Neurospora crassa OR74A: one gene and its partners. The protein of the gene in region 3 purifies or fractionates together with the protein of the main gene of each other region. This does not show direct contact. Links are inferred from orthologs where the notes say so. Each region holds a gene or a part of one and is shown on either strand. Other genes may lie near its edges. The genes, in order: NCU00417, NCU01184, NCU02572, NCU11357 and NCU06921.

Region 1 (2,968 bases), on a different chromosome or scaffold from region 3:
CTTGCCACTAACGAACGTTCCAGTACTCCTGCTTCGTGGAAGGTTGCGAAAGGAAATGCATGACCCCCCAAAAGCGACGGATGCATCTCATTGATAAGCACATGTACCCAAAGAATTTCTTCTTCGCGGTGACACTGCACGGTATTGACGGGCGGCAGTCGATGTTGTTGGATGAACGGCGGCCGAAACAGAAACGGGTCCACAAGCCATCGGCAGCGGAAACACATGCCAGCTCTTCCGACCCAAAGGTCAACTCCAAGTCAAAGCCTCCATCAGAAATGAAGGAGCGGATGGAAGTAGATCGGCCCGAGCCCACTCCAACATCGACGAAACCCGATGCTGAGATGACAGACCAACCGCACGAGGAGGCCGTTGAGGAGCCGGCTGACGTGGATATGGGAGACTTGGTAGGCAAGATGTCTGCACTGCAGTTCGTACCCTCCAGTGTCAGATTTGGTCGTGGTCGTGGAGGAAAGACTGGATTCGCCAAAAGGTGACAACAGAGGAAGTGCAAAAACGAGATGTGGTAAGGCTTGGGCAAACCAATTCCATTAGTACTGGGCAGCTGAAACATATTATTGCACATCTGTAGCGAGAACATACTGATACGGTCCTCACATTCCATGATATCATGACATAACGTGTTCGTATGTTTGTTCAATCTGCTCCCTCAACAGTAAGCGTCAAACATAGCTCTGCAAAGGAGAAAGCATCTTATCTTACCCTCTCCCCGTGAACGCCTCTTCCCTCTCCCGATGCGTGCTCGACAAAGAGATGTTGTTGGTATCATTATCGCGGCGCTGAACAGCCGTTCGTCGGCCCCTGGCTTCTCATTGTTTCTCCACCACATCTCAGCCTTGAAAAAAGTTGCTTGTCCCTGCCGTCCCTTTTCAATTTTATAACCTCAAATCCGTGCCTCCTCCTCTTCAATCACCAGTAGCACACCCTCTGCACCCACAGCTCACGCACTGCACATCCTGGCCCTCCTTCAGCTCGGCCTTGGGCACGCGGCAGATGCACGTCGAGTTGAAGTTGGTCTCCTTGGTCTGTATGCAGCGCAGGCAGCAGAGCTTCTCGTAGCCGTTCTTCTTCCACTTGGCGATCAGCATCGCGTCCGCGTATCCATTCTTGAGCAGCCACTCGTACAGCTGCTTGCTGATGGCCTCTTTTTCGTAGTAGAGCTCATAGATGTACCGGCTCCGCTGGTGCGAGATCTGGAAGATAGGCCATTTGGCCTGGTGCTTGGGTATGTTGTCCGTCGGGGCGTTCTGTGCGTCCTTCATCTTGTTGGCGAAGATGAGCAGATCCTCCTCAATGTCGGCAAAACCCTCTGGGGGCGGCTTGCGCTTCGAGGCGGGGCGAATGGCTGGCATTTTGAGGTCGTCGCTGGTCCTCGGCCTCGGGATTTAGTAAGCGGTGCTTTAAGTAACGTGTTTTGCGTTGCGCTAACGTATATACTCGGAAGAGTATCGGAGTGTGTGGTGATATCGCAATTGTTCGGTTGAAGGATGGAGAACTTCAAATCTAATGAGCTGACCAGAGGAGAGTGCTGTGATCCCCGGCGTAAGTGCAGTGAACTGGCTCAAAATTGCCTGCCAGAAACGCCTTGGAATTGTGGCGCCAACGTCATTGGCCTCTTGTAGTTGTGGCTAGTGCTATCAGCGCCCGCACTCTGTGTGTAAGAGCAACTGTGGCTTAGCTGGATGCTACCGACCCCGAGCCGACTGCTGAAGCTACAAGCTGTCATGCGAACGACGAATCGACCGACCCTGGCGAACGGAACGGCGACAACCTCCAAAGGTCCTCAAGTCACGAATTGGCCCAAAATGCCCATCACACCTACCAAGTACGCCATCACCACCAGGCAGTGTAAGTGACCCCAGTTGTACAAGCTGAACGAGTAACTCTGACGGACATTGTAGCGGCAAACTGGAGCGACGCCAAGCGGAGGGTGTTCGCCCTTTATCGGCGATGGCTTCGTTCGGTACGTTACGAGCGAACCTACATAGAACGAGCATTTCCAGCTTTCGACGAACACGTTGGATATCGACGTATATAATGGGAGGAGTGCGAACAATCCCGACCGAGGATTCGCTAACCAGGATATCACATACAACAGACACCCGAGATGCAGTCTATGTACTCACTACCCCTCCCCATTTCGGTCATTCGCACTCGCATCAGGCAGGAATTCGAGCGCAACCGCTTCGTTAACAAGTTGCCCGTGGTGGATGTTCTGCTCACAAAGGGCCATGCCGACTATCAAGTAAGGCTCCACTTCATCGTCACTATCCACACGGACATGAATCAGGGGATCCCCAGAAACGGGCACAGCAGTGGGGTCATGTCCAAAATCTGGAGAACACCCAAAAAGAAGAGGGAAAGGGTTCCAGGCAAGGGGTCAGAAGGGAATATCAGAGCGCTGGCGCATGTTATGCGTCGCGGCGATTCGGACTGATTGTTCTGGTAACTTGACGCTGACTCTCCACGCGTCTATCAGGAAACCATGAACTTTTGGCGCCAGACGACTCACATGATGTCGTACTTCAACGAGGAGAGCTTCCGTGGAGCCAAGAGACTTCCCTCCAGCTTTATCGATGGCTTCCTGCAGGTAAGCCTATACATGCAGCTCTTTTGTCTTTGATGATGGCCACTTCATTGTGCGGGTAGCTCACAATACTCTTCTTTCATCTAGGGTCGCAACTAAGAAGAGTAATAACGAAGGGTATCAATGTCAGCCTTTCCTCTAGAGCCTATGTATATAACGCAAGCCAGATGAACATCCATGGACGCAGCCGCTTGTTCTTTTATCTTCCCCCCTTATCTTGATGGCCACTCACAGCGAGTTTTCCTTTGTCTATTTTTTGTTCCCCCTTGTGATTTACTACCAATTCAAGCCCCAAAACGCCGTTACCCATGCTGGTGAAAATTAACGATGAAAAGAAAGGTGAGAAACAAGAGGCTTAGG
Region 2 (4,130 bases), on a different chromosome or scaffold from region 3:
GTGTCGTGCAAGAGTCCAATCTTGGGGTGATACCAGGTGAGTTGCACCTTGTTCTACCCTTCCCTTTCTTTTCTTGTACTCGACTCCATCGATCAAGACTCTCATCATAACACAAAACCCTCACTAACACAAACCCTCCAGTCCCCTCCCCGTCCCAAACCATCCTCCACTCCACAGCCAACCACTTCCTCCTCCTCCTTTCCGACTCCGCGCTGCCTCTCGGATCCTTCGCCTTCAGCAGCGGTCTCGAATCCTACCTCGCCCACAACAAATCTTCTCCTTCCCCTTCGCATTCTACATCAATTGTCACTAACAAACCACCCAAAACCAAACTTCCACCACCCTCCTTCACCTCTTTCCTCCCCCTCTCCCTCTCCTCCTACGCGTCCACCACGCTCCCCTACGTCCTCGCCGCCCACCGCGACCCAGCCCAGCTCGCCCTGCTAGACGACACCCTCGACGCAACCATCGTCTGCACCGTCGGCCGTCGAGCATCGGTCGCCCAGGGCCGAGCGCTGCTTTCCATCTGGGACCGCTCTCTGTCCTCGTCGCTACCGCCTTCGTCTACTTCTGCCGAAGCGGCGGCTGCAATTCTCAAGCCTTTCTCGGCTTTGCTTAGATCTGCAGGGGCGCCACCACCGTCTTCCACCACCACCACCACCACCAGCAGCAGCAGCAATCCATCGACATCGGGCGGAGGAAGAAGTAGCGGGTGGAACGACCCTCCACCCGTCTCCGCCCACCTCCCGCCCCTCTTCGGCGCCATCTGCGCCCTCGTCGGGCTCTCGCTCGAGCAGACAGCTTACGTTTATTTACTTAGCCACGTGAAGGCGCTGGTGAGCGCGGCGGTGAGGGCGGGCATGTTTGGCCCCTACCAGGCGCAGAAGACGCTGGCGAGCAGGCAGGTGCAGGAGATGATTGGGGCGTTGATGAAGAGGGAGTGGGAGAGAGGCGTGGAGGAGGCGGGGCAGAGCGTGCCGGTTATGGATTTGTGGATTGGTAGGCATGAGGTTCTTTATTCGAGGATTTTCAACAGTTGAGTTGGGGAGGGGAGGACTGGGGGGACGGCACCGGGAGTTGAGGGTGAAAAGGGGTACATGGGCGAATTGTGATTGGGAAATGGTTTTTGTTTACTTGGAAAAGGGGGCGGAGGAGTCAAAGCATGGCCACAAATCTGTATGGCACATGTTCAAACGCTCTTAACTTGGTATCTTATTATTTCCTAGGCCAAAAATGGCATCTATGCACTGGCTCCTGCTGCCTCATTCTCTTATCATCATTACCAAAATAACTTCTTCCCAGTTATGTCTCAGTCGCTGTCATCGTCACTACCATAAGCCACCAGCGGTCCCGCCGAGACAGGTGCTTTCGGTTTTGCCGCAACTGCAACTCTAGCAGACTGTAGCGCAGCAAGCGTGCTACCAGACAAGATCCCACCGGAACTCTGTTGTTGTTCCTGAGGATATGCCTCTTCCTCCTGCTCCTGTCCCCATCCTCCAGCCTCCCCAGCTTCGAGCATGAGCAGTTGCTGATCCTCCAGCTCGTACCCTTCGCGACCCCTTGGGTTGACCGCATTCTTTCCCCGGGCAAAGTGTACCTCGTCTGGCGCCTCGTATCCTTCCAGGCCGTAACTGCTCTCGATCTTCCTCCGTTTCCGCGCCTCTGGGTCTTTGCCCTCGATCTCGGCAACATACGCGGCAGGCAGCGCCCGTCGAATGGCTTCGGCGGCTTGCTCCTCGATGCGTCTTGCCTCGCGTTTCTGCGCCATGGGGTTGGGATCCGCTGTCGCCCAGCGAACGTTGAGAATCTCGTTATGGTCTAGTGACTGGTGGGCCATTGCTTCCTTGGCGAATTGGGCGTTTGCCTGTAACCAGCGAATTAGTACCGAGTTCAACATCCAAGCAAAATGCTAGCAACCGTGGCTTACCTCATTTGAATAAGTGACGAACGCCACACCTCTCGTGTTGAGCACACGTATTCTTTCTATTTGGCCCCATTCGGCAAAGTGACGGGCCACGATCTCCTCAATGTCCTCCGTCACGTGGATTCTACCAATATAAATTGTCCGGTTTTGCCTGCTAAAGCTGCCCACACCGCCCATGTCGTCACGATAGTCGCTGAATTTGTCGCGCCCAAAACAGTCCACATTGGGGTTGAAAATGTCGTGGATTGTAGGTAGTCGATGGAGGTACTCGCAATCCTGGCCCTTGGGACAGACGCCCCTCGCAAAAAACAGACAAAAGAACGATCCTGCTACTCCGTCGGCGCGCGTGTATCCAGTGTCCAAGGCGATATTACATCTTCCCTTTGCGTGTGTTTGGGATAGGTATTTGTCTTCGCGATCGCCACCGGACCACTTATTGTACCAGATGTTGAACGTTGTTCCTGTCTGCGGGGGCGGCTCGGATTTGACTAGCGCCGGGTCGATTTGAGGTCGCGCCGGTCTCTTCTTGCGCCGGATGATCTTTTTGACCTTCTTCTCTGTTGGGGCGGCGACTTCGGTGTTCGTTGTGGTGAGAGCAAGCTCCTGTGTCTGCGCGTCTGTCGCGTCTTCTCCGGCTTGCGCTTGTTCAATTACGGCGGAGACAGGCTCCTCTTGCCTGGTATCGACTTCGGCCATGGTATGTCGGATTGGGATTCCAGATGTGATTTGGTTCGAAAGCAAGTATCGGTACTCAGTTGGCCTTTGGTTGCGCGTCTTGTTGCCAGGGTAGAAAGAGGATAGCGGATACGTATGCTGCAAATGCGATGACAAGTGGAAAAAGACAATGACGCCGAATTTGGTTTACGATTTGTTGTCTAGGCCAAACTCGCAGAGCACAGACTCTTTTCCGAGATTCCAGGGGTGTTGGACTTTTGGAGAATTTCCAAGCCTGGGCCGACCTTGGCTGACAGAGACCCACTCCGCTCCCGCAGATTTTATGGGTCTTCCAAAAGCGGTGAAGGACAAAACCCACTTCTGCTGCCCCTCCTGTCCGGGAAATTCTGCCACTTGGGAACGTGGGGTGCGCACTGATATGTTTGACATTACTGTTCCTTACAGCGTGTAATTCATCAACCTTGAATTTCACTTTCAGGGCCGATTCACTTCTCATCAGCTTGCCAGCCTGGTGTTTACCTCGAGTTATATCGCTTCAGTCTTTGTTTCTTTTGTAAAAGCGATACCAAGGACAGACCTGTCCTAAACCGCCAAGATGGTGAACATTACGGAAAAGATCAAGGAGTAAGCTGCACCATTGACGCTTCCACGGTGCCTGCGTGTTCGACTTGATGGAGTTAGTCAAACTGACCATAAGATACAAGGATTGAGGAGGAGATGAGGAAAACCCAGAGTAAGACCACGTCCCTATGCAAACAAATTGACTGAAAGCCATGAACGCTAACATAAGTTTTAACAGAGAACAAGGCAACTGGTACGCTCTTTATCACCTGTCTCCAACATCATTCATGTGCTGACCTGGTGAAACCAAACTAAGAATATCATCTGGGTCTCTTGAAGGGGTAAGTGAGTCTACACCAAGCGATCCTTGATATTGACTCTCACTAACGCCCATCCACAGAAAGCTCGCTCGTCTCCGCGCTCAACTACTCGAGCCAGGGCCGGGCTCGGGCGGCGGTCCAGGTGCCGGTTTCGACGTCAGCAAAAGTGGTGATGCTCGTATAGCACTGGTCGGCTTCCCGTCAGTCGGTAAATCCACGTTCTTATCCAAGGTCACCAAGACCAAGTCCGAAGTCGCCTCATACGCTTTCACGACCCTGACAGCCATTCCCGGTGTGCTCGAATATGGCGGTGCCGAAATCCAGCTGCTCGATTTGCCCGGTATCATCGAGGGTGCCTCCGAGGGCAAGGGTAGAGGAAGACAGGTCATTTCCGCCGCCAAGACAAGCGATCTGATTCTTATGGTTTTGGACGCCACAAAACGTGCTGAGCAGAGGGCCCTCCTCGAGGCCGAGTTGGAGGCTGTAGGCATCAGACTCAACCGGGAGCCACCGTACGCCCCCTTTTCCCTTCCCATGTTACTTTTCTACCGACGCTAACGATATAATCCCCCTTTGCCTAGAAACATCTACCTCAAACCCAAAAAGGCCGGCGGCATGAAGATCACCTTCCAGACGCCGCCCAAGAACGG
Region 3 (4,115 bases):
CCAGTCATGATGGTCTGGGCGCCAAGGATGATGGCCTTCATGCCGGAAGCGCACACCTTGTTGACGGTGGTGGCAACCACCTTGTTCGAGAGACCGGCCTTCAGGGCGCACTGGCGGGCAGGAGCCTGACCGACACTGAGGATAAAGACATGTGGTTAGTATTGTGCTGTTCCAGGGTCGAGTCGCGGCGGCGCGTTCGCTGCGCACAAAGGAATCTATGGCTACGTACCCAGCAGAGAGGACATTGCCAAAGAAGACCTCCTCAACATCCTCGGCCTTGATTTCGGGAACGCGGTCAACGGCAGCTAGAAACAGGAGTGGTTAGCTAAGGACACGTTTCATCTAATACTCCTCTCGAAACCGGTTCTAACCGACGTACACTTGATGGCATGGGCACCGAGCTGAACAGCAGAGAGGCTGGAAAGCTGACTACAAGTTCAGAGATATCAGCAACGCGAAGTTCACGCTTCGTCCCTCCTGTATCGTTCTGACAACAGCTCCAGGTCAGCCGACATGGCGGGGTAGCTTACCCAAGGAAGGACCCCACAGGGGTTCTGGCGGCAGAAACGATGTAGACGGAGGGAAGACCGGTAGACATGATGGCTAGTTTGGAAGCTTGGAGTTGAGGAAAAAGACGGGTTTTGGAATTAAAGATTATGGAATGAAAGCGGGTGAAGCCAGGTAAGAACAGTGAAGATGTGGGAAGCGTTGTTCTAATAAAGCTCAGCCCGTGACTACCAGGATTGTCTTTTGGACGCGGGACAGGATAGGGGAAATTGTTGAGACGACGGGGACCTTGTAGCTGTCACCTCAGGTCTTCTCACCGCCTTCAACGCGAGGTCTTATCAGTCTTTATCCGGAAAAGTGCCGATCTTCAGGAATAAGAGAAATGGACCCTCGCAGACTTTGACAAAGTGGTGTGAGGTGTCCGATGCCGGCGGCAACTGGCTCTCTTCCCATGATACCTCTTGAACCCGTCTTTATAGACTAGGATGTGGCAGCTTGGGCAAGGGGCAGTTGTGGGGGTTTATGGAGTGTTAGAACCCTGAGGGGCACCGCGATGGCCTGGATGGTTTCTGACGTGGTCCGCTGCGGGAATCTGCTTGCATGTCTGCCGTGGACCCGTGGTGCCATCATTGCGAGCAAAGATTTTATCAGATGATCTGATAATGTTGAGCAGTAGATCTGCGCACCAGCCACTTCCTGTGGTCGATGCCGAAGCTAGCGCCACATTGCTAAAACACTAGTCTCTACCATTTAAATGAAGTCTGCCATTTTTTCATTAGTTGCAAGGGACCTCCAAGTTTAGCGCTACACGGTTGAAGCTTGGTCCACTGCGCGCCGCGGCGAGAGTTCACTGGTTGACATCAGCCTTGCGCAAAGACAGCGACGAAAATCCAGCAAACGTTCCAGTCAAGATCTCTGAACTCCCATTGCTCAACAACGCGACAGCTACCCTTTTCGAGACAAAGCGGCTTTGGAGTAACGCTCAATTATCATCGACGATACACGATGGACGACGATTTGTACGACGAGTTCGGAAACTTCATGTACGTATCATGCTATCTCCATGACGTCGTCACGTTGCAGAAGGATGGTCTGTCTGGGCTGTGTTTTGGTCAAGACTCCATCGTCTTTTTGAGGCTAATGTCCAATCTTGCTTACTTTATGATGCTCTCTCCTTCGGCGGTGCTAACCATTGATTCGTAGCGGAGATGCTGAAGCCTCCGAGGAAGAGTCTGAACATGGTGTCGACGCTGGAAACTACGTTTACGATGATTACCCAGAGGAAGCCCCAGAAGCTCCGGCTCAGGAGATGATGGAAGTTGACGATGAAGGCCCCTCCAACGCCGTTGTTCTCCACGAAGACAAGCAGTACTACCCGACAGCCGCACAGGTCTATGGCGAGGGCGTCGAAATTTTGGTTCAAGAGGAGGATGCGCAACCGTTAACACAGCCGATCATCGCCCCTGTCGAGCAAAAAAAGTTCAGCATCGAAGAAGCAGACCTACCTCCCGTATACTTTGACCGCACGTTCATGGCCGATCTCATGAACTTCCCCGAACAAATCCGTAACGTGGCTTTTGCTGGACATCTACACCACGGAAAGACAGCATTCATGGATATGTTGGTGTTAGAGACGCACGACATTGCGGACAAACTTGAGAAGCGAACGGGAAAGAAGCGCGACGAGCAGCTGCGGTACACAGACATTCACATCCTCGAGCGGGAACGTGGGTTATCCATCAAGGCTTCGCCCATGAGCCTGGTCCTCCAAGGAACAAAAGGAAAATCACATCTCTTCAACATGATCGATACGCCAGGTCATGTGGACTTTGTTGACGAAGTTGCGGCTTCGCTCAGGCTTGTGGATGGTGTCTGTTTGGTGGTCGATGTCGTGGAGGGGGTTCAGGTCAACACAGAACAGATCATCAAGCACGCCGTTTTGGAGAACATCCCACTCACCCTCATTGTCAACAAGATGGACCGGTTAATTCTCGAGCTCAAGTTGCCGCCAAACGATGCCTATTACAAACTTAAGCATGTGATCGAAGAAGTCAACACTGTCATTGAGAACACAATTCCAGGCCGAGGTGAGGAGAGGAGGTTAAGTCCAGAGAGAGGAAATGTTCTGTTTGCCTGCACGTCCATGGGCTGGTGTTTCACTCTTCAGTCATTCGCCAAGATGTACTCGGACACGTATGGTGGTGTCAACTCGGAAGAGTTTGCGAGGCGCCTCTGGGGAGACATCTACTTTAACCCGCAAAAGCGAAGTTTCACAAGGAAACCCATCGAAGAAGGAGCTAAGAGGTCCTTTGTCAACTTCATCATGGAGCCGATTTACAAGTTGTACTCGCATACGATTAGCGAAAGTCCGGAAGAACTGAAGGGTACCTTGAAAAAGTTGGGCATTCAGCTCAAGCCATCGCAGTACAAGACTGACCCCAAGGTCTTGTTGAAATTGGTTTGCGAGCAGTTCTTTGGGCCATCTACCGGGTTCGTAGACATGGTCTGTCAGCATATCCCATCGCCGGCTGAGGCTGCAAAGCAAAAGCTCGAACAGTACTACACAGGCCCTCTGGACAGCAAGGTTGCTGAGTCTATGCTGAACTGCGACCAAAATGGCCCGCTTGTGTTGTATGTGTCCAAGCTGTTCAGTGCTCCCGATGCGAAGAGCTTCTATTCGTTTGGCCGTGTGATGAGCGGTATTGCGCGCCCTGGCACAGAGGTCCGCGTGCTTGGCGAGGGTTATTCTATCGACGACGAAGAAGATATGGCCATGGGGAGGATATCCGATGTCTTCATTGCCGAAACACGATACAACATCCCAACCGACGGCGTGCCCGCTGGTAACTGGGTTCTGTTGGGCGGCGTGGACAACTCGATCGTGAAGACTGCCACTATTGTGGAGAAGAAATTTGAGGATGATGAGGACGCCTACATCTTCAAACCTATTTCGCACTTCACCCAGTCCGTCGTTAAGGTTGCTGTCGAGCCCATCAATCCGTCTGAACTACCCAAGATGCTTGACGGCATCAGGAAAATCAACAAGAGCTACCCCCTCATTACCACCAAGGTAGAGGAATCGGGAGAGCATATTATTGTTGGTACTGGCGAGCTATACATGGACTGCGTGTTGCATGACCTACGTCGTCTATATGCCGATATGGAGATCAGGGTATCGGATCCTGTGGTTCGATTCTGCGAGACGGTACAGGACATGTCCGCAACCAAATGCTACGCCATTACCCCCAATAAGAAGAACACCATTACAATGGTGGCGGAGCCATTGGAGGATGGTATCGCGCAGGACATTGAGTCCGGAGCGGTCAGGATTCGGGATCCTGTACGAAAGATCGCCAAATTTTTCGAGGAGAAGTATGGCTGGGATCTCCTTGCAGCCAGGAGTATCTGGGCTTTCGGTCCAGACGAGATGGGACCCAACATCTTGCAGGATGACACCTTACCATCAGAGGTCAGTTGCGAGTTCCTTTCCCATGCTCGGGACACCAGTTGCCGTTCTACCCAGGTTTTTGCGGTGATCGTCGAAACCGGGCCGTCTCTTACTTCCGGGCTACTAACACGATGAACAGGTTGACAAGAAGCGACTTAAT
Region 4 (4,023 bases), on a different chromosome or scaffold from region 3:
CGAGTTTCTACGGTACCTAGGTAACCGGCACGGGGGAAGTCGTTCGTTGTGCTTGTTTTCTAAAACTGAAGCACAAGGTCATTCATCAACACCTCGGTTGGTGTCTTTCACAAGTTCCTATGGTGACTTGACGTTGACCATGCTTAATGTGCCTCTGTTAGTACCTTAGCAGTACTGCGGGCAAGAAGAGCCTGTTACAACGCTGCATCCTTAACAGTCAGACATAGGGGTCCAATTGTACACTACCTTACCTGCATCCCGATTCGGGCATTCAGGAACAAACAGCTGTCAGCCTATCAGGTTGCACTATCCCCTGTTCTCGTCGTGAGCTCTTTCAGGGTCTGATGATGGACCGTGATATGGAAGCTGTTGGAACGCAGGCACTGCCAAAGTTGAGATCACGAAATACGGAGGTGAAGCCATACAACAGTATCACCGCAGAATTTCCCCGTTTTGCTTCGGTATCATCAGAAGTGAAGACTTCAAGACAGATATGCTCTTTAAAACAACATGCTCCCGCCGCTCAAGTCTACACTAGACCTGTTCATCAAATATCTTTTTCACGCTCGAGTCCAGATAAACCAATGAATTACTTTATAAGCTCTTTATGTTTTGCGTCATACTGGGCAGACCGGTATTGAGCCCTCTCATCAGGAGCTAACGCCTACCAATAAACCCCGATCTCCCCTTTCGCTCCTCTAGCCCATCACTTTAATCTTCTTTGGTCTTCCAAAGCCAACCCCACCTAGACCGTCTCCGAGTCCGACTTTTCGTATTTTCCAATGCGATCCTACTCGCTCTTCGGCTCCAACACCGAAACTACGCCCTCTTTGCTGACAGCCACCAACTGCCTCGCCTTGTCTCCCCACTGCACCGCCACAGCCGGCGTGCTTGTCCTCAACGGCTCCGTCCACGACTTGCTAGCCTTGACATACTGCTGCACCGTAACGCCCTGCGATCCGGCAGTGGCGAGGTACTGACCCGTGTAATCCCAGGCAAGGCCGGAGACGTCACCGGTTTGGAGCTCCTTGGCCCGCGCGGCGTCGCCTTCCTTGCGCAGGTCGAAGATGGTGACAGAGGACTGGCCGACGCCCGTAGCGGCGAACCAGAAGCCGTTTTCGGAGAAGACGAGGGTCTTGACGGGGGCGCCGAGGGTGAAGTTGGCCATGCGCTGGAGAGTCTTGGTGTCGAAGATCTCGATCTGGCCGGATTGCGTGCCGGCGGCGAAGAGGTGGCCGTCGGGGTGGAAGGCGCAGGATGTGAGTTCTGTTTGTTCATATTAGTAACTTGAGACTGTGAGGCGGGTGGTGAAAGGGTACATACCAGCGTCAGTATAGACACGCGCTACACGCTGCAGCGACTGCAAATCGTAAAAGATGATGCCCTTATCCACGCCCACAGAAGCAAGAATCTGCTCGCCAGGGTGCACCGCCAAGCCCGTCACGGCACCGGCGTGCTCCGTAACAGAACCAGTCTCGACACCGCCCTCAACAGCCTTGACACTGCCCTTCGAAGTGGCCGAGACGACCTTGTTGCCGATCCACACCGTAGCAGTCACCGGCTCGCCAACCTCCAAAGAGCGTTCGTGTGCCTTGGCCTCAACCGAGTAGAGATCCACCTTGCCGTCCAATCCACCAACCGCCGCATAACCACCGTTGAGAGCGAGCGAGGTCGCTTGTGTGACGGGGAGATCTGTGTAGGCGGTTTGTTGCAGAGCGGAAATGTCTTCTGTGGTGGCCCAGCCTTCGGGGACTGGTCGCTTCTTGCGGCCCTTTTGCTTTCTGTAGATCGGTGAATTGTCAGCATTCAACTTTTCGAGATGACGGAGCGCGGTAAACGTACTCGGCCTGAACCTCATCAACATGTGCAGCCAACGCCTCGGGCAGACCCTCGCTGTCTACCGCCATAGCGTCACCAGTTGCGGCACCGCCAGCAGAAGCCGTAACTGTGAGTCTGGAAAGGGCCTCGCGGGCCTCATCACGCTCCTTGGTCAAGCGAGCAATCACGCGAACGGCGGCATCGTTCTGGTAGAGCGCCGTGGCCAATTCCTCCCTTGTCCTCGCCAGTTGTTGCCTCGTGTTGTATGACTCTAGTACCAGGGCGTCCCACTCGTCTTGGAAGGCCTTGAGCATGGATGGGAGGGATGTGAATTGCGGGGGGCGGGGGCGGACGATCCGATTTGTCTTGATGGGGAGGAGGTCTTCGACGTCTAGCTCTTCATCGGTGCCGGGTTCTTTGTGGTTCTCTTGGATGTACTTTTCGATCAATCGCTTCTCGAAGACGGCGCCTGGGATGTGTTAGTATGGCATCGCATTTCGGCCTGTCGTGGAAGCATCTGGTGTGGCTTGGTGGGAACAGAAGCGGTGGGAATGGTGGGATCTCGGTGATGGTGACAACAATGACGAAGAGTGCGCGTACCGGTCTTTCTCGAGACAACAGGCTCCTCGGGAACCTCTCCGGATACTGCGTCAATCGGTTAGCACAGCGTCGCGCAACGGTAGATTAGAGCTGTGACATACGGGCGCAAAGCATCTTGATAATATGACTGCAATGCAAAATCTGTAAAATGGGTTGTTTGGTTCAAGTCGCGATGTCAATGTCGTCCTCCAACTTTTTTGTTGCAACGCGCCACGGCCAGCCAGCTAGCACAGACAGCAGGCAGGCGACGGCCTGGAGCTGGACGACGCTAGAGGTACTTGGAGGTTTGGCGGCAGGCAGAGAACCATCTGCCAAGCTTGAGCCACACCGAGCCGCATACTACGGTAAGTGACCAATCATGTTGCATAAATGACTATGGACGTTTGGGAGGTACTTTGGCAATGTATCTTTTACTCGTCATTTTCGACTCAACACCATGCCACTTCTCACAACATCTACAATGTAGACAGCATCACATTCAACTCAATAGCAAATCCACTACACATAGATACTTCCCTTCGTAACCACCACCGCCGTCCCTCCCAGATACAAATCCTTCACCTTCGCCTCCCCATTCTCCCCCTCCACCGCCGTCGTCTCCACCTCAATCTCACTCTGCCTCCCCATCTCCACGCCCTGCGTCAACTCAAACCTCGCCCCTCCCATCTCCCTCCCACTAACCGTCAAATAGCTCGCCAGCGTACACGCCGCACTACCCGTCGCCGGATCTTCAAATCCCAACTCCACCATCCTCGTCCTAAACTTGAACTCCTTCCTCCCATTTTCACTCTCTTTCTCCCTCTCCATCGGCACATAATAATACCTGGACACAAACCCGCGCTCCCACTCCCCCTTATCCAACAACCCCTCCACCTTACTAAAATCCAGCCTTTTCGCCGTCGACACCTTCGCCAAATGTTCCAAACTCGGCAGTTTTACCAACAAAAACGTCATTCCCCGCACGATACTAACTACCGGGCCATTTAACTCCGCTTGTCTTATCTCTGGGTCCTCGGACAGCGCAGCCTCAATCATCTCCCTTGTCTCCTTCTTCACCTCCCCTCCCTTTCCATCCAGAATCCCGCCCAACGTCTGCTTATGAATACGCACAGCATGCGGAATCGTAGCCTTCACCCTTCCTTCGGACGTCGGTCTGATCGTAATCGGTCCGGCCTTGGTAACAAGCGTGTCCACATGCTTCCACCCCAAATGGTTTAGCACGAGGTACGCCGTTCCGACAGTGGGATGTCCGGCAAAGGGAAGTTCTTCCTCGATGGTGAAGATGTCGATTTCCCGACTGGTGGAAGTCAAGCCATCGCGCGCTTCGTCGTCGAGCGTGTGCAGAAAGACGGTCTCGGAGAAGTTGAATTCGCGGGCGATGAGCTGTTTGACGTCTTGGGTGAGATGAGAACGAAAAGAGGCGGGGGTGAGGACTACGGCTAGGGGGTTGCCTAGGTAGCGGGTGGAGGTGAAGACGTCGACGGTTAGGTAGGTGAGGGTGATGGGCTGGGCCATCTTGGATGTTTTGGTGCGGGAGGTGCCGCTGTCTCCGGATGAGATGGTGAGAGAGTGAGTGAGGTGGGACTGATGGCTCGTATCTTTGAT
Region 5 (3,975 bases), on a different chromosome or scaffold from region 3:
ATTTTGTCCTTTTATCTTTCTTTCTTTCTCTTTAAGTTACGTAGTAGATAGAAACTACCCCCTCGTTCTTTACGAAAGGAGGTATTTTGGTTTTGATGAGAATCCTTTGGCGGTGTTTTTTTTTTCTTCCAAAGCGGGTGGCACTATGAGCCAACCACACACACCCACGGGTATGAGGAAGATGCGCAAAACAATGACTCCGACAATGGTGTTATAGCTGCAGAAGAACCGGAATTGCATGAAGGGTACAAGTAAACTTGAGCGGTGCGGTGCACAAGATGATAGATAATGTTCATTTGAATAACCAGCGGCAGCGAGGGTAACATAACCAGACCAATATGAACAGCCGAATAATCCAAAGACACTTGGCTGCAGTGTAACGTTCATGGTTTCTTGGGAAGTAAGCCTCGACGCCGTGATGTAGAGGGGATAGTCGTCGGCACTTCGATTGATTACAACAAAGATACTCGGTCGACCAGCCACTGTCATATTTTCAGTGCACGTCCAGTATATAGTTCAATCGACTGAGTCAAGACGAATTAAGTCCGGGAATGGATGATCAATATCGGCTGTTCGCCGGTGTCTTGATTGGTGTCTGCTGCTGCTCCAAAATCAAGTCTTTGCACTTGAAAAGCCAGTCCAATCCCATTAGTACCGAAATGTTTCTCCCAACGCCAAGCAATGCTGTAAATATCTTTTTCCGGTCGCTCGTTCTTTGCCTGCTTTCACCTGAGACGCGACGCTCCAATCTTCTTCCTCTATCGTCATCCCTGAGGACAGCCATCAAAATCCCTCAGCAATGGCCCAATTTCACACAATGACCCACGAGACCGGACAGTGTCTAATCCCACATCCTAATCTCACCCTTCGCCCCCGCCGTAAACACCTTACTCGTCTCCTGCTCCGACCAAGCCACACAGTTGATCGCCCCCCCGCTCGTGTCCGCGTGGATCTTGTGGTACATCTTGCACGTCTTCCAGTCCCAGAAGCAGACGTATCCTCCGGTATCGCCCGAAGCGACAAACTGCCCGTCGGGACTGCAGACCAGCCCGATGCCGGAGCCGGCGGTGTTGTGGCCGCGCCAGGACTTCTTGCGGTTTTGGCGGAACTTGTCCGAGGCCGATGAGTAGGCGACGATGGAGTTGTCGGAGCATTGGTAGAGGACGTATTTGCCCGAGGGGTGCTGGGTGGATTTGGTGAGGGCGAACATGTCGGGTTCACTAGAGAAAATGTTAGCATGTGATTACTTTTGGTAAGGAGAATAAAAATGGGAGGAAGAAAAAAAAGAGAAGACATACCTGATAGTCTTGATCTCGACTGGAATTCCATACTCCCATACTCTCAACGAGCGGTCATCTGACGTCGACATGAACCGCCTGTTCTCGTCCACGAATTCGAGGGTGTTGATGGCGCCCAAGTGGTGATCGTACTCCTGCACTGGATCCGCTCCCGCACGACTGTCGTATTGCACAATCCTGTTATCCGACAAGCCCGCCAAGAACTCGTGACCCTGATCCACCGACGGGTTGAACTTGATGACATGCGGTGTCTTGCCCGTGTTGAACCTGTTGACACATTGTCCCGTCTCTGTGTCCCACAACTTGATCCATCTGTCGAACGAGCCCGATAGGAACTTGGTGCCGTCTCTGTTAAACGACAAGTCGGTGATAGCCTTCGAATGGCCCGCATACGTCCGCAACAGCTCGCGATTGCGATAGACATCGAAGATCTTGATGGTGCTGTCCGTGCTGCCCGACAGACCCAAGTGACTTGACTTGGGAAACAACTGCAACGCCGTGATCGGCTTGCCGGCATGGTGCCTCCATGTATGCATGTGCTTCTTGGGGATGAAGTTCGTGACGCTCCCGACGTCCTTGGTGAGACTGATATCCAGATCCTGCGGGACGTGCATGTATGTCCGGCCAAGGTAATCGAATTCCTCGGTGCCATGGAACGTCGTCGTCTCCGCGCCCTGCTCTTCCACCTCTTTCCTGCGCGCCAGGTTCTTCGTCGGCGCCTTGACGACCGTCCCGCTCTCTACCACGTCTTCCTCTTCCTCCCCTTCTTCTTCTTCGACAATCTCATATTCCTCACCACTCCCCAGCTCCTCTTCATTCACCTCCTCATATTCCTGCTTCTTGTACCGCGCCCATGGCCCGACGTAGGCCCCATCGCCATCCGCAATCGTCGCGCTTCCTTTCCCCTCTCTCTGTTGCCTCAGCTTTGCAGCCGCCGCCTTCTTGGCAGTACTCCCCAATTGTTCGCGCGCGGGACCACCGCCGCGCTCGATGGCGCGGTGCTTGGAGCGAAAAGTGTGTTCGCTGATGTAAGTCTCGGCCGCAGTACCGGTCAGGACGTTCTTCCTCTTGGTGCCGACCGCAGTGGAAGTCGAGTCGGTATCGTCACGGAAGGGGTTGGCGGGCCCGAGTCGCGGTCGGCTTAGATCCTCGCCGGTGTAGGGGACAACGGCATGGTCTGGTTCGGCGACTTGGCGGACGATGAGGGCGTCTTTGACTGACAGGTTTGCTGGGTATTCATTGAAGTCGGCCATGGCTATTTGGATTATGTTTAGTTCTGCTGCGGCTTGATGAAATTGTGGTGATGGTATGCTCGCCAGCCGCACGCTTGATGAACCTGAAAATGTTTTTTTTGTTTTGTTGTTTTTGTTGTTTTGGAGATGAAGATGGGATGCGACCCTCTTGGAGTCGTTGGCGGCAGGCCGGGCGCATTGGTTGACGTCTGGAACAGTGGAACTCAAATTCAGAGTGGAGCTTCTACGATATACGCGCGCACGGGCCATATACCACCCACTTACCGGGTTGCTGTCGCACTCTGGTTGAGCAAGGACCAAGCTTTGGAGCTGAGACTCAGCTTGCTTGTGAGGGAGGGGCTGACAATGATCAGCGTTGAGCCAAGCTCTATTGTTTCTGGCTTGCCTCTCTACTATGCAGTACAAAGAGTGTTCAATGACCCGAATATTCGGTTCCATCTTGGTAGGACGACAACAGCTTGCTAAGAGAGTACATATTCCAACAACGCGCCCAATGTCTATGGATCAAAAAGTCATGTTCGTGGTTCTCCATATGTGGCCCGCGTTGCCTTCCCTCGGTGTTGACATTTGACAAGACAGCAACAGACCATGATCTTCATGACGTAGCCCGTCCCGTTTCATTACATACTTTAGGAAGCAGTAAAATACAGCACGCGATTTCTCCCTCTCCTCACCTGCGTACACCCAATTGGTACCGCTGAAGAGGTCGTAAACTCTTTTTCATCATTTCCTTTTGCCCCGTCTATCCAGCTGTCATGCCAACCGAGGCGTACAGCAAGGCAGTTGCCACCTTCCCGAAGCCCGTCAGTCGCTTTTCCTCTTCATTATAGAAGCCAAGACCATACAATTCGTCCTCCTCTTCTCCCGCCATCCAATAATATAATCATTCCCGCCATCTCTTCATAGCTTCGTGCCCTCCCATGCCATCTGTCAAAGTCGTCGTATGTTACGCTCATGAACCCTTCCCGTCCTTTTGCAGCATCCGTCGCCGAGGATCCTGCCTGCCTGCTTGCTTGCCTGTCGTTGTACTGTATATATTTTTTGTTTGTGTGTGTTTGAAGTACTGCGTACCAGTGTGCCCAGCGCCGTTATGTACTTTCGAGAAAACGGTGGTGGTAAAGATGCGAGCACGAGCTCCGATGAGAGAGCTCCGCGTCCGATCCGACGGACTTTGTGGCGGTATCGTTGTGAAACGAGAAGTCCAGTTCAACTTAGCGAGCGACGGCCATTTCCTAATGAGCCTCGTCCCGAATGAGGGCCACAATCATGCTGTACAAGTAAAAGAAGAACAGAATGAGATGGAAGCCGAGCTTAGTGAAAGATTCCTAGAGAGCGCGCAGATCGGTTAGAAGCAGTTCTTGAAGCTCCACCACAGCGGACGCGGTTGGTTGTGTTGAGCTGATGACATACCTTCTTGTGGACAT

Evidence for each region.
Region 1: the proteins of NCU02572 (region 3) and NCU00417 purify together in Schizosaccharomyces pombe (affinity purification with mass spectrometry; 3 studies listed by BioGRID, with this or other methods). This does not show direct contact. The link is inferred for Neurospora crassa OR74A from reciprocal best matches to the Schizosaccharomyces pombe genes cwf10 and cwf14.
Region 2: the proteins of NCU02572 (region 3) and NCU01184 purify together in Schizosaccharomyces pombe (affinity purification with mass spectrometry; 3 studies listed by BioGRID, with this or other methods). This does not show direct contact. The link is inferred for Neurospora crassa OR74A from reciprocal best matches to the Schizosaccharomyces pombe genes cwf10 and cwf2.
Region 4: the proteins of NCU02572 (region 3) and NCU11357 purify together in Schizosaccharomyces pombe (affinity purification with mass spectrometry; 3 studies listed by BioGRID, with this or other methods). This does not show direct contact. The link is inferred for Neurospora crassa OR74A from reciprocal best matches to the Schizosaccharomyces pombe genes cwf10 and prp19.
Region 5: the proteins of NCU02572 (region 3) and NCU06921 purify together in Schizosaccharomyces pombe (affinity purification with mass spectrometry; 3 studies listed by BioGRID, with this or other methods). This does not show direct contact. The link is inferred for Neurospora crassa OR74A from reciprocal best matches to the Schizosaccharomyces pombe genes cwf10 and prp17.

The regions. Positions count from the first base shown.
Region 1 is NC_026503.1:3,780,411-3,783,378, forward strand, and holds NCU00417 (cell cycle control protein cwf14), read right to left. Parts: upstream 1,513-2,968; 5' UTR 1,374-1,512; coding exon 927-1,373; 3' UTR 604-926; exon of another isoform or gene 533-603; 3' UTR 509-532; downstream 1-508. Other genes in the region: NCU00416 (C2H2 type zinc finger domain-containing protein), read left to right, coding at 24-497; nuo14.8 (NADH:ubiquinone oxidoreductase 14.8kD subunit), read left to right, coding at 1,746-1,869, 1,923-1,984, 2,120-2,266, 2,501-2,611, 2,696-2,707; NCU00419 (DNA-directed RNA polymerase I and III polypeptide), read right to left, coding at 2,964-2,968. UniProt on the Schizosaccharomyces pombe protein: Involved in mRNA splicing where it associates with cdc5 and the other cwf proteins as part of the spliceosome.
Region 2 is NC_026505.1:3,161,340-3,165,469, reverse strand, and holds NCU01184 (pre-mRNA splicing factor cwc2), read right to left. Parts: upstream 2,811-4,130; 5' UTR 2,621-2,810; coding exon 1,928-2,620; intron 1,865-1,927; coding exon 1,310-1,864; 3' UTR 1,041-1,309; downstream 1-1,040. Other genes in the region: NCU01185 (urease accessory protein UreF), read left to right, coding at 1-36, 142-1,040; NCU01183 (GTP-binding protein 1), read left to right, coding at 3,195-3,223, 3,304-3,332, 3,399-3,413, 3,477-3,501, 3,561-3,992, 4,062-4,130. UniProt on the Schizosaccharomyces pombe protein: Involved in the first step of pre-mRNA splicing. Required for cell growth and cell cycle control. Plays a role in the levels of the U1, U4, U5 and U6 snRNAs and the maintenance of the U4/U6 snRNA complex.
Region 3 is NC_026501.1:2,767,225-2,771,339, forward strand, and holds the start of NCU02572 (U5 small nuclear ribonucleoprotein component), read left to right. Parts: upstream 1-1,303; 5' UTR 1,304-1,512; coding exon 1,513-1,550; intron 1,551-1,710; coding exon 1,711-3,976; intron 3,977-4,094; coding exon 4,095-4,115. Other genes in the region: NCU02571 (acetyl-CoA acetyltransferase), read right to left, coding at 1-135, 230-305, 380-429, 531-598. UniProt on the Schizosaccharomyces pombe protein: Component of the U5 snRNP complex required for pre-mRNA splicing. Binds GTP.
Region 4 is NC_026503.1:540,488-544,510, reverse strand, and holds NCU11357 (cell cycle control protein), read right to left. Parts: upstream 2,661-4,023; 5' UTR 2,533-2,660; coding exon 2,520-2,532; intron 2,464-2,519; coding exon 2,419-2,463; intron 2,288-2,418; coding exon 1,843-2,287; intron 1,782-1,842; coding exon 1,324-1,781; intron 1,267-1,323; coding exon 791-1,266; 3' UTR 501-790; downstream 1-500. Other genes in the region: NCU11356 (phenazine biosynthesis PhzC/PhzF protein), read right to left, coding at 2,917-3,933. UniProt on the Schizosaccharomyces pombe protein: Probable ubiquitin-protein ligase involved in pre-mRNA splicing. May also function in DNA repair.
Region 5 is NC_026507.1:771,757-775,731, forward strand, and holds NCU06921 (mRNA splicing factor), read right to left. Parts: upstream 2,719-3,975; 5' UTR 2,552-2,718; coding exon 1,299-2,551; intron 1,221-1,298; coding exon 842-1,220; 3' UTR 503-841; downstream 1-502. Other genes in the region: NCU06922 (endosomal cargo receptor), read right to left, coding at 3,784-3,876, 3,962-3,975.